Linked DNA regions of Drosophila melanogaster. Changing the gene in region 1 together with any one later gene gives a genetic interaction. Each region holds a gene or a part of one and is shown on either strand. Other genes may lie near its edges.

The links.
Region 2: of emb (region 1) and mbo, changing one suppresses a phenotype caused by changing the other (phenotypic suppression), as found in Drosophila melanogaster (one study listed by BioGRID).

What each region holds. Positions count from the first base shown.
Region 1 is NT_033779.5:8,401,437-8,409,809, reverse strand, and holds emb (embargoed), read right to left. Parts: upstream 6,238-8,373; 5' UTR 6,150-6,237; intron 6,103-6,149; exon of another isoform or gene 5,886-6,102; intron 5,806-5,885; 5' UTR 5,523-5,805; coding exon 4,031-5,522; intron 3,895-4,030; coding exon 3,524-3,894; intron 3,435-3,523; coding exon 2,955-3,434; intron 2,887-2,954; coding exon 2,554-2,886; intron 2,488-2,553; coding exon 2,122-2,487; intron 2,036-2,121; coding exon 1,886-2,035; 3' UTR 957-1,885; downstream 1-956. Other genes in the region: Naglu (N-acetyl-alpha-glucosaminidase), read left to right, coding at 1-681; fy (fuzzy), read left to right, coding at 6,729-6,806, 6,865-7,979, 8,039-8,096; CG31898 (uncharacterized protein), read right to left, coding at 8,333-8,373. UniProt on the Drosophila melanogaster protein: Receptor for the leucine-rich nuclear export signal (NES). Binds cooperatively to the NES on its target protein and to the small GTPase Ran in its active GTP-bound form.
Region 2 is NT_033777.3:12,675,835-12,681,267, reverse strand, and holds mbo (members only), read left to right. Parts: upstream 1-2,215; 5' UTR 2,216-2,266; coding exon 2,267-4,375; 3' UTR 4,376-4,781; downstream 4,782-5,433. Other genes in the region: Cyp313a4 (cytochrome P450 313a4), read left to right, coding at 1-116, 182-379, 433-618, 778-850, 894-1,020, 1,080-1,665, 1,733-1,893; CG43630 (uncharacterized protein), read left to right, coding at 5,012-5,158; Gnmt (glycine N-methyltransferase), read right to left, coding at 5,263-5,433.

The DNA of each region.
Region 1 (8,373 bases):
CTGGATGCCTGGCACTTGTTGCTGACCTTCAGAGCCATCATACCGCTAGAGGATAACAGATACGAGATATACGAACACGATTTGGTGGACATAACCAGGCAATTCCTGCAGATCAGCGCAGATCAGTTGTATATCAATCTAAGGTCGGCCTATAGAAAGCGACAGGTTTCGCGTTTCGAATTCCTTAGCGTCAAGCTGTTGAAACTGTTCGATGACATGGAGCTGATCCTGGCGAGCAGCAGGAATTTTCTGCTCGGCAACTGGCTGCAGCAGGCCAAGCAAGCGGCACCGAACACTGGGCAACAAAGAAACTTCGAATTCAATGCGAGAAACCAAATTACCGCCTGGGGTCCTGATGGTCAGATCCTGGACTATGCGTGCAAACAGTGGTCCGGCTTGGTGAGCGACTACTATAGGCCTCGGTGGAGACTCTTCCTGGAAGATGTGACAGTGGCTCTCCATGCTGGACGACCCTTTAATGGTACCGCTTTCAAGCTGAAAGTCTCGCACGAAATCGAGCTGCCTTTTAGCAACAAAGACGACGTTTATCCCGTGACGCCAGTTGGCAACACCTGGCTTATTTCCCAGGACATTTTCGAAACCTGGAAGGGCTACTCTAAGGACACGCTCTTTCTACATAACAACAGATTATCAGTGCCTCAAAAAGCGGGACCTAAATAATTGTATCTACCTATAGTTCAATACAACTGCCACAACAAACGTTTAATAAACTTTTCTCTAAAATTGACTTTAAATATTCGAAATAAAAATCTTTTGACACTAGTTGCTCAAGGATTAAACGAAAACATTTCAGATATACAGATATCCCACCAAACTTTCAAAATTGATTGGCATCAATCCAATAATGTTTCAATCAATTGCGAAATTCCACGAGATTAGATACGTACACTATATTACTATCAAAATCGTTACAATTGAAACTTAAATGTGGCTTTGCATCATACATCAATGTAGTTTTAATTGATTTTTATTTAAATTAATGTACAAACTAATTATGTAAAAATTTAAACGATTTAATACGCATTTCTATGGTTACTTTTGTTTTTCTTGATGTATTTGTGTTTTGGGTATTTGCGTTTTAGTTTTCTTTTTTTTTCACACATTGCATGAACTCTATTCTGGTTATGATGCCGTGCTTTCTTGATCGTCTCCTTATTGCGGCGTCCATCGTCTTCAACGTCGGGTTAATGCTAGATTTATGCAAAAAGATTGCATACAATTTTGTTTACTCCTGCCAGCATCTGATCTGTTTAAGTCACTACAATTAAATTTTTACTTTAAGGTTTTCTTCATCTTAATATTCTTGTTTCCTTTGCTCATTTTTGTGTGGGTTTCTCTGAGAGGTGTGTTTGTGTTTGTTCAAATATTCATTCATACTCGGATCTTTCTACAATTACTCATTTAAAAAATTCCAAACAAACATTATTTTATATTAGTACAATAAAGTTTGCATCTTTCGTATCGGTTGCGTGTAGTATTATTATGACGTTTTACAACTATATAATGTGGATAGGGGAGCGGGAGTTGGGAACTGGCTGGGCATCTTATTTATGCTGGTATGTCGAGGACAATGCGCAAAAATATGTTAATCATATTAATGTATGTAATTGCGCACGAATAACCATTTACTCATTCACCTTTTAACGCAGCTATATCTGTATAGGTGTATGTGTATGTGTGTGTATGCAAGTGTTGTGGGTCTTGTGTGGATGTATTTATATATATAACGTACTTATATGCATTCAATCAAACAAACATTTATACTTTCTCGCTCGAGAAACACTCATACATCACCATCCTTTTATCATTCTCAAGCATCAACTAAAACATTCTAGCTCAGTGACATCGACATCGACATCGACATCTATTCGTCCTGCATATCCTCGGGCAACTCGTGCGGATTCAACATTCCTGGAATATTACGCTGCATCTGATGTTTATTTGACTGCTCCTCGGCCAGAGCCGCTTCACGCTCTTCCAAGTACAGATCGGAATCGTCCTCGCCGGTGGCCTCCTGCAATTCAATTTATATACATTAAGGTAAATGATATTTACTAGCAGTTGGCCAGCTTTAATGGCCATCATTTGATAAATACTCACGCGAATCTGTATGAGAAAATCTCTCAAATGCTCCTTAAATGCTTGCACATTCTCGTCTAAATTGAATAAGCCAGTGACAAAGACTTTGACCTGATTATCGGACAGATGGGTAAATGCCGATTTCAGCAGCGACGCGACATATTCCTGTATGAATATCATATTATCCGGAATCGGACCCAGGTTCACCGTAATCTTCCTGTTCTCCACCAGTGAGAACATGTACGCCAGAATGATGGCATGATTGGGCAACCCGGCCGTGTGTGAGGTGTCAGTGACCACCGAAAATATCTGCATTAGAATATCTGTAAAGTACGTCTGATAGAAGCTCTGCGCCGCACCGGGATGCTGATCTAAGTTTTGAAGCATCTGAAATTGAAAATACCCGTTAATAAACAAAAAAAACCGATAAGCAAGTTTAATTAGTGAATGTACCTTAAATAGGATATTCAATCCCATGTCGGCCACATTCCGCATGGTATGCTTGAATGCCCACACCACCGAGTCGAAGACCAGTTTGAACTGAGCCGGCGGTATATTAAGGAACGCCTTAAAGCAGTGCGCATTGACCGCCTGCAGTAGCTCGTAGAAACTAAGTCTGTGCTGTGGGAAATCTTCAAAGTTCTTGTTGATCATGTCCAGCGTGCACTCGAAGACGGCGTCAAATATTTTTGGTACTTCATTTGTGATATGCTGACGCAGTTTATGCACAATGATTGCCATCGCACTTAAAACCTTGGGCTCCCGTGCCGATGGAACTTTGCAGCGCTACAAAATAAGGAAAAATAACATTAGTATTAATGTATTATGTATTCATTGTGAGTTTTGAAAGTTACCTGATAATCTAGCAGTATAGCGTCCAGCAAAGGCGGTATGAAATTGTCCATCACCAACTGATTGTCGTTGGAACGAGACACCCACTCGGATATCAAGTTAAGCGTCTCCTTCTTGACCACATGCATGGTTTTGATCAGGGGCTGATTGTTCACATTGACGCCATTCACCTCGATGGCCTGAATGATATTCTCTGATGTTATCTTGTACACATTCAGCATGTCCAGATATATGCGGCCCAGTTGAATGACATACGCGTGACCCAGGGCTTTGCAGGCAGCCACATTCGTTTTAAGGATGCTGCCCAGCTGCTTGACAGCGGTCATGTTCTTCAAGAAGTCAACGTTTTTCGAGGCGCGGGAGATGATGTCATCCCACACCTGGTTGGGCAGTTGCATGTACCTCTCGATGAGGACGTCCTGTTGTACCTGATCCACCTGGGCGGAGATCATGTAGCCGACAGCTTCATAGAACGTGTGAACCTACAAATGAATTTATACATTAGTATAGCTTTTACTGATTAAGCTTCAAATGTAGGTATAATAATATTGTAATTAAAAAAAGCCACTACCTGCTGCGGCTGCAGATCACAAATGATGCTGCTCATTGTTGTGAGAATCTCGTCAATAAAGGTGCATGCCTCATTCGGCTGGATGGTGACAAAGTAGCGGCGGCATTTGATGGCTATCTTGATGAACGTATCGCATGCCATATCCTGGACACCATCGTGCGTTTCGTGCATAAATTCGAAGAGTTTGTTTACCACCGTCTTGAGGAACTTCCAATGGGCGCGCAGGAAGCGTGGATACTGTCCCACCACATACATGATATTGGAGGCAATAATGGCCTTGTTGTCCTTGCCCTTCTTCTGTTCGCACAGGCCTAATAGATCCTTGATCACGGTGACCAGGAACCGTTTTTCGTCCTCTTCACAAAAAGCACCTGAAGAGTGATAAAAGCACAAAAAAAAATAGGGTTATACTCGGAAATAATGGTGGTCCATGATAATCAGGAATGAATGTTTGTGATTTATAAAAACCAAGTACAGACTGGGAATAAAACACCAAAAATGGCTCACCGGATATGGAACCAATGGCCCAGCACAACGTGTTCAGGTTCTTCCAAGAGAATTCCGATCCGTTCACCTGATTAAGCAGCTTTAGCGTCATGATGCGGTCCGTGTCCACAGAGTCCAAATGGGTAAGAAAGACCAGCGTTTCGCGCATGTTCTTGTACAGGTTTATTGAGTTTGTGTCCTTCATGAACTCGCGCACCACTTCCCCGTTTTCGTTCTCCACCACCAGCACCTCCTCCGGCTTGGCCATGCGCGAGATCATAATGAATCGCACTTTGGACAGGATGGGGGCGTAGAAACGTCGACGGGGATACACTTGTTGCCTCTTTGTAGACTCCAGGGTGGGGTGGAAGAATTCCGAATTGTATAGATCCTCCACAAGGCTGTTCCAGTATTCCAGACAGATCTTGAATACTTCCACGTCCTCCACCTCGCTAATCATCACCAAATACATGAGCGCCTGATTCAGGTAGTCCACATACTTGGCATCCTCCACCAGTTTGCCGTGCTCCTTGAGGAAGGTGCACAGGAACATGGCCAAATTAAGGACCAGCTCCTGCTCTGTGTCGGAACCATGCTTAAACACATGGTTCATGTTCATATTCTGGCCGACTATCTGTTCCAACTGAACCATCGTGTCCTTGAAGAGCGTCGCGAAATTCTCGTCGTAGTTTGCCGCAGTCAGGCCGGCGATCTCGGACAGACACTTCAGGGTCACATTGCGGAACATGGGTACGCTAAGGAATTTGAATATCAGCGTTTCAATTTGCTGCGTTTCAAAGATGTAGCCCAGCGGTATCCAGTTAAGGAACCTCAGCAGAGTCTCCAGCGTGACATGGATTAGGGCGGCATTCATCGAGTTCTCCAGCACGAAGGAGCATAGTGTAAAGATCTGAGAGAACTCCGAGCACATGGTGTCTTTCAGGTGCTTGGCCTTAGTCTGCGTGATCTGACCCTGCGAAAAGTCGAACACCTCCTCACTAAGGTTCTTCAGGATTACCATGTTGTTCATGCACAGGCTCTCGTTCGTTTTCGACGCACCGACAATGTCACTGATGAATGTCTCCCAGTTGCGTGGCCATTCGCGCTTTAGAATGTGGACCAGAATCATGTTTAGCTTATTCAGATACACTTTGTTCTGCTCCATAACAATGGGATCCGACGAGGTCTTGATGATAAGACTGACCACATACTTCTTGATTCCCTCGCACTGGTTGCGCGGCAGGACCTTCCAGCGCGTTTTGATGACCTCCTCGAGGATTTGCAGAGCATAAAACTTGGTCCGCTGGTTCTGTGAGTACTCCAATATGCTGTCCACCCGCGTCCATGCCTCTGGATGCTCCTTCAGCGTGGTCAGTATGCTCTGGGCTAGACGCAACTGCTCGCCCTGCGCTGTGTACACAACCTCGACGATCTTGTCCAGCAGATTAATGTCCAGCTTCTGGGAGAAGTCGAGCAGCTTGCCCGCCTCGTCCGATGTCAACATTGTCGCCATCGCTTTGTAGTAGAAGCGGCGTTCGCGTCGGCGTCGCTCTGCAGTTGTGTCCGCGTTAATTTTGATAGCTTCTTGGCTTCCTCCTCCGCCGGATGAGCTCGGATCTCACGTTTTTTCCCTTTGGATTTCTTGTTTTTGCTGTTTTTTTTTTCCACTTTATTTATCGAAAGTGCGCGGCGGCTTCTGCTTCAGCTTCTTCTTCTTCGCACTATGATGACGGTGAGGAGCGGCGACTCTCGATCTGGATCGGGATCTGGATCTGGTGCCGGGACTGGACCTGAAGCTGTGGAAATAAGACCGTTGGTTATACATATTGCGTACTTTTACGCCTGTCGACAGGCAACCATATTTCTTTTTTGTTTTCTTGTTTCATTTTTTTGGAACACACAACTACAAGCGCACGCTGTTGCCTGCGCGCGCTACACTTTTTCGCACTCGCACACATACAAGCGCTCGGCACACCACACATACGCACACACTGGCACAGGCGAACGCATCGCCGCCGCAAATGCGACAAGACTGCGGCGGCATTTCCCAAATTTTCTTAGCTTTTCAAAACGCGCCAGCGAGGACGCAGTGTGTAATTAATTAACAATCATGAACATGTAATTCACATATCAAGCTTACCTTTTACCGATTCCAGAAAAGAGCAGCGTGTGAAAACGACGACGACGGACAATGCGAAATGCAATTTGTGAGAACAGTGTGCCCGTATGGTGCTGAACAAACATACGTCCACAGCCCTGGTCTACAGGCATGCACGCAAAGTGATCGATAACGTTGATCGAATAAAATAATCAAATGGCATGGATGAAGATGCTTAGTTTGTTGGCTTACTTACTGCCAGAAACATCGATGTCCCTGATATCGAAAAACATCGATGTTTTAAGCAGCGATGTTTTAAAAAAAAATACAAAAAAATATTATCTGTTTAATTTAATGGAAAAACAAACCAGTATGCATGCATGCATAAATTGACATAAATATATTTGAATTTGATCTGTTCTCCTGAATCAGCTACAAAATACTGCATCTTACTGATTTATTACATTAAAACACTAAAAGTATGCAAGTAATTCAGATAAAAGTTTAAAATAAATCATATTAATTTACTAGTGCATCGCTTATTTTCGATAATTCAAAACGAATCGATTTAATCGATGTAAGCATCATACGTAGCAGGTTCGGCGAAGAAGAAGAGCTGCGATGTCCATCTATTTGTTATGTTTGACAACAAACGGCGGATTGCCAGTGTTTACACGAAAGAAGGGAGAATGCGAAAATGTAAGAGTAACATATTGCCTACCTATTCACTTAGTTAATACCCTTTCTCCATATCCAGCTGCCCTTCTCGACGGTGGCCTCCTTAAACGGCTTTCACATGTTCTTTAAGTCGCTGGGAATCCAACTGGAGGCCACGACGACCAGCAAACAGCAGCCTATCCAGAATCAGGCTCCCGCGGATGCCGAGGAGTGGACTTACATATGGCGCGACCGGGAATCCATCACCCTGATCGTGTGCGGCTGCGGTGTTGGGTCGGAGCAACTGCTTCAGACGCTGGCTGATCTTGTCTTTGGAGCGATAGGCATGTTCATTACCCGGGCCGCAGAAATGGCACATGCAACGCTCCTCGATAGACTGAAGAAGGACGCCAAGAAGTATGTCCCGATTGTTGACGCTATTCTGGAAGCCGCCTGTGCGGGTACACAACTCCTGGGCTACACGGACTGTCTGCTGGCGGCGGAAAACGCCCAGCTGCTGCAGTGTCTAAATGAATTTAGTGGCCACTGTGGCTCGCTCTTTTGCTGCCTGGTTGTGGGACACCGTATCGCTGTGGCCACTGAGGGCTGGTGGGATCTGGACACTCGGGACCGCGAGCTGCTGCTGTTTCTGTTGAATTCGTCGAGCACAATGCAACACGATGTGCCGGTCTATTTGCCCGTGAAAAGTCCCCATATAGCCTACCGCTTTGTCAGTATTCCTGTGGCGTCGAACAGTGCTCTGTGTGTCCTGTGTGGCGCTGAGAATGCCTCGTTCCGAGAGTTGCATGCACATGCCATGAGTGCCTACCGGAATGAAGGCAACCTTTTGGCAGCCGCCGAGCGATGCGTGCCGCGCAGTCTGCCCGAGCATCTGGAGATCGATGGAAATGTGCTGGCCATCATTCTAATTAACCGACACACGCGAAAAAGTCTCTTTACCAGAAATCTAAACCAGTCGGCGAGTGTCAAGCGCATCATTGTGGGCGATCTACAGCGCTTGGACATTCTAAAGAAGTTTTTCGATCAAACTATGGATGCAGTCCACCAATTTGAAACCCAGTCGTCCAGCAATAAAACTACGTTAGTGGACCAATATAGCTGCTCGGACTACCACAAGTGCTATGCCCATATGGATGAGCTGGGCAATGTCATATTCTTGTTGTTTGTGGCAGCGGTGCCCTCGCACGCAATGAGGTGCGATTATAATTATTTACTTTGATGACAAGGTTTTAAAATCAGTATTGTATTTACAGATTCCTTGCGCAACGCATCCATGCTAATATACTCCAGGAGAAGTCAGTATGTTGGTGATACGATATTTCTTTCTAAGCCTAAAGACTGATTTTTGTTACTACTTTTCCATGAAATAATGTTTTTTTTTAAATGACATTATATTTAACGAACAATAGGGTACAACTCCTTTTCTAAAGTTAAGCGTAATTTTTGACAAATCTTATATGTATATGCTACATACTAATATGGCTTTAATGACTTACAATTCCGTCCTTACAAATACTATTTATATATTTTAAATATACAATATGTCCTTATCCTTTTATTACAACATTGTATGGGCGACAATAGACCA
Region 2 (5,433 bases), on another chromosome or scaffold:
GCTCTGGATCTACTTTCTGTGGAGCAGGCGCAGATTTTATCTGCTAACGCTAAAGATACCGGGACCACTTGGATATCCCATTTTGGGCATGGCTCACTGGCTGATGCGCAGGGAAGGTGCTTTGGATGTTGTGATGTTTGTTGTGTTGGTCGGGAGTAATAATCTGAGTGTCCGTGCGCAGATATCCTCAACGCATTCGGCTGCTTTCTCGACAAGCACGGTCCGACAATTTTCTCCTGGCTGGGGCCCATTCCCTTTATGATTGTGAGTGATCCCCAAGTGGTGCAGGATATCTTCACATCTCCCCACTGCGTCAACAAGGGCATTATTTACAAGGCAGTGGACGATGGCGCCGGAGTTGGATTATTCAGCCTGAAGGGTGTGTGTCTATGGAATCGAGTGTGGGAGTTACTTAAGTGTGGATTTGTGTAGATCCCCGCTGGAGCATCCATCGGAAGCTGCTGAATCCCGCCTTCGGCCACAAGGTGCTACTCAGCTTCCTGCCCATTTTCAACCGGGAGACGGCCCTTCTGCTCGATCAACTCGAACCACTGCAGGATGACGGCGAGAAGGATCTCATTCCACTGCTGCAGAGCTTCACCCTGGGAATTGCCACCCGTGAGTAAAGAAGAATGTGTTGTTTGTTTAAAAAAAGACTCATAAATTATGGCTATCACGTTTGTTGTTTGCATACAAAGTGGTCGAAAGCCAGAATGCATAATTCAGTTAGAAGAGTCGATCTGATATTAAATATATGATATACTTATATGAAAGCAGAAACCACCATGGGCAGCGATGTAAAGGATGAAGAGAGCTTCAGGAGCAATTCCTTGCTGGGGCGATACCAATGGTGAGTTTTGACTTGGAATCGGAATGCATCTATCCATTAATAGCATCCTGGAAACCATGACAGATATGTGCTTCTCTCCGTGGCTCAATAGCCGATTTTGCCGGCAGCTGGCTGGAAAGGAATCGCACTACTACCAGGCCAAAACTGAGATTCGTCAGTTTATTCGGAAGGTGAGCACCTCCAACTACTCCCTCCGCTTATTCACTTACGAATCTCTTAACCCCTTTAGATAATTGAGAGAAAGTTGGCCGAGGACGAAATGGGAGCACTACCTTCCATCCAGTCCAATGATAAAAACCTATTTCTAAATCTGGTCACGGATTTGATGAGACGAGGAGTGTTTACCCTGAAGAATGTTGAGGATGAGTCGAATATCATCGTTTTTGGAGCTTTTGAGACCACGGCTAATGCAGTGTACTACACCCTGATGTTGCTGGCGATGTTTCCGGAATACCAGGAGAGGGCCTTTGAGGAAATAAAGACGATATTCCCAAACACAGGAGACTTTGATGTATCCTACGCGGACACCCAGCAGATGGTGTACCTTGACCTGATCCTCAACGAATCCATGAGAGTAATACCCCCTGTTCCTGTCGTATCCCGACAAACGTCTCAGGATCTGAAGCTGTCCAATGGTATAGTGGTTCCCAAAGGGGTCCAGATCGCCATCGACATTTATCACATGCACAGAAGCAAAAAGATCTGGGGTCCGGATGCGGAGACCTTCAACCCAGATCATTTCCTCCCCCACAACATCCAGGACAAGCATCCGTACGCCTATATACCTTTTACCAAGGGCATTCGAAATTGCATAGGTAACAGAGTGATCGCTAATTTATGACCATTGTTTTAGCTATATTCTTATTATTTCCTTCTGTTTAGGTTGGAGATATGCCTTAATATCGGCGAAAGTTACATTAGCCAAGTTATTGCGGAATTATAGGTTTAAAACGAGTTTTCCCTTCGAAAATCTATACTTTGTTGAAGATATTACGATGAAGTTGAAATCTGTGCCACTGTTGGAGCTCCAAAAGAGAACTTAAATGTTTATAGCACTTAGTGATTTTAAATAGATTATTAAAAGTTGTTGAATTAATGGGTTCTGTGAATTATACCAATATTAAAAAATAATAACATCTACCTTTTATAATCTTTTATTAACTATTAATCAATTATTCCATTTTTTAAATTTATAGCATGATTTATGCTAACGTCTTTCGTTGAAAAGTTTAAGCAGCAATAATTATTAGTACATTTTCCGAAAATGTTGGTGTTAGCGTTTTTTTAACAAATTTCTTGTTTCATGAATTCGAATTAAAAAAATACTAAAAAAAAATACTTTGCGGATTTCCGAAGACTACTATCACACTAGCATTGACTTACAAGCCGGGCAACGAATTGAAGCATAAACAAACGATGTCGCTCACCGATGTCTTGGAATTGAACAAAACGGAGTTGTTCGCGAAGATTCGCAATGGGTTGCCCGTGGTGCAAAGGACTCAGAACCTGCTGGACTGCAAGGACGATCTGCTCTTTGCCTGGCACGCGAAGGACAGCTGTCTGTTGGTTCGCAACTGGCGCTCATCGCTGGCGGCAAAGGTGAATATCCAGTTCCAGACACTGATTCCATCGAGCTTGGTGAGCCTGGAGGTGGACCGCGTGCTGGCCTCCAACGAGGGCTCCCTCGTGGCACTAAGTGGACCGCGCGGCGTTGTCATAATGGAGCTGCCCCGCCGCTGGGGCCCCGATGGATACTACAAGGATGGCAAGCCAGTGATCACCTGCCGCACGTTCGGCCTGGACACTCAGCTTTTCCTAAAAAACCCGCACTTGGAAGTGCGCCAGGTCCGCTGGCATCCGCACTCCGTGTCAGACTCCACGCTGCTCGTGCTGCTCAACAACAACACGATTCGAGTGTACAATCACTCCAAGTTGCGCCACGTGTGGCAGGTGGGTCCCCCGGTGCTTCGAAGTGGGGCCAATAACTCGCTATGCGACTTTGGCGAGCTAGCCGTTGACTTTGACATCGCTCCTGCTGCAAAACCACGTGTCACTGAACCAGAAACAGCCGGCAATAACGAAACCACTTTGGATAAGAGCAACAAAACCCTTGTGGCGGCCAAATCGCTGCCGAAACAGGAGAGGATAGAGTGGCCCATGGTTGTGCTCCGCGAGAATGGAAACATCTACATTTTGATGACCGGCGTGGATTCGGAGAATACGCGCCTGCAGGGCCCCGTTACCATAACGCCACAGGCACATGACAATTATGGACTGGAGTCCTGTGCCCTAATGATTATCCCATCACTTCCGCCGACCATTGTTATAGCTGAATCCAATGGAAAGCTTCACCATGCTCTGCTTATGGAGGCGGAGGCCACTGAGCATTCTTTCAATGAGGTTGACGACTCTGTGTTGATTGAACCCGCCGAATACGTTGTACATGTACTAGAAACTGTCGAACTTGAGCTGGGAATATCTGCACCCGCAACTGGAAAAGAAGGAGGCAACTGTCCCATATACTTAAAGCGGGATTTGATCAATGAGCTTCGCTACTTTGCCTACCACAACGCAGGACTTCATGCCGTTACGGTCAGCTTTATCGCAGAGCTGCAACGTTACTTGGAAAGCGAGTCCGATGAAGATCGTCTAGAGCTGGCGGTCTCTGCAAGTGCAGAGTACATTCTGTGCACAAAATTCGATTCCAGTGAGACGGTGAACGCAGTCTTTGGACTTGCCCTATTACAAATTCCTGCCGGTATAGTTCTACTGCTGGGCAGCGGTCAGGTGATTAGCCTTAAGCTGGTAATTGATGCCCAGCTGTTGGTTACACCTAATGAGAATAAGCCAGTTGACTCGGAAGTGTCTCAGCAGGAAAGTGGGCCACCGTTTGTCGATACGATTAAATCGCTTTTGCAACGTAGTGTTAACCAGCCCATCTTGGCGGATAAACTTTCCTCGCCATCCGCCCAGGAGAGCTTCGAACTGCTTAACCAGGCAATCGAGGTGCTTCGTGAGCAGTACCTTAAACGACATGACCTTGTGCGCGCCGCATTTACACGCCACATCAACCAGATCCAGCTGAAGAAGGAACAACAGCTGCAGGAGATCCAAGACCTGGAGCAGGAACGCGAACTGATCAGCGAGCGGGCCCACAAGCTTGCCGAGCGCTTCGAGGAGATTAGCTACAACCAGGAGCTGCTCGTCCGCAAGTGCAACGCTCTGATGCAGAGGGCCAATGCCTCACTACCCAATAGTGTGATTGCGGAACGGGAGTTTTCGCAGGAGGTGATTCGACTTAATAAGGTCACCCAGAGCCTGGCCGCTGGACTGGAGACTGCTAAGAAGACGTTTAACAAGCAGCGCTACCACATTGCCCAGAGTCAAGAGGACCTCAAGAAGAACGCGTACGAGCTGCCGGAGAAACAGCACCGCACTATCACCGAGATACTTACCCAGCTAACCGGGGAGATCGATCGCCAGATCACCGACGTCAAGCGCATTAATAAAATCGTTGGCATCTAAATTCGGATTGGGAAGCACGCTCTTAAGATTTCACCACGTTTTCGTGATAGTAAAGCCGTTGCGTAGAACTAAAACGTATTTTTAATAAACATGTCAATTAAGTCCTATTTTCGTTAGCTGGCTTCTGTTTTTTGTATTCGATGACACTTTAATGAGCATACGTCAGCGTTTTCTGCTAGACGATCCTTCATGAAGACACAAAAACATTTGATACCCATGGGTATTGTGCTACAAAGTCTACTACAGTAAAATCTATTCTTGACGTACTGTCCCATTTTCCGGATTATAGTTCAAAAAGTAAAATAATAGTAATAAAATAATAATAAGAATAAAATAATGAATAATAATAGTAGACTTCATACATCATAATTCGGAAATACAAAGTATTGTAGTACTGCTGTAACATAGTTTTCCAACTTTCAGCTCCACTGTTATTAGAATACCACAAATTTTTCTAGTATTTGGTTTTTAAAGTATCGCATTTCGATCGTTACTCATTTTCTCTGCAAAGCAGAACCCATTGAAAACGTAATGGAAAAGCATTTGCAAGGCTAATGACACTCGCCCCAAGAATTGAGGGTTTCGATAGCTATTGCGTTTTAGTGACAGTCTAAAGCGAAGTTCGGCGGACGAGAGATGACGTTGATACTACTGGCTGCCCTGTCGAACATCTACACCGGGATGTTCAACTACGTGAAGGCCAAATTCCCGTTCGTGATCGAGGCCGCCATGGTGACCCTGTGCTTTGGCTCCATCGTGGGTCGATTCTGCATAATGGTTTAGAAGAAAACTGAGGAGACTCGAGACTGTGCGAATCGAAGGAACTTTATGTATATTTATATGGATGTGTCTTGTGGCCTTATGTGAATACAACTAAAAACTTAAATCTAAACCTGTGGCTTTTCGATCAGGTGAATGTAGAAGGCGGGGTTCTTCACCTGGCTCATCTCCTTGAAGTCACCATACAACTGGTGCTTGGCTTTGGCGGAGAAGATCTCGGCTAGAATCTCCTGGAATCGTTTCAGCCCGTGGGGATAGTAGGACAGACGGAACTCACT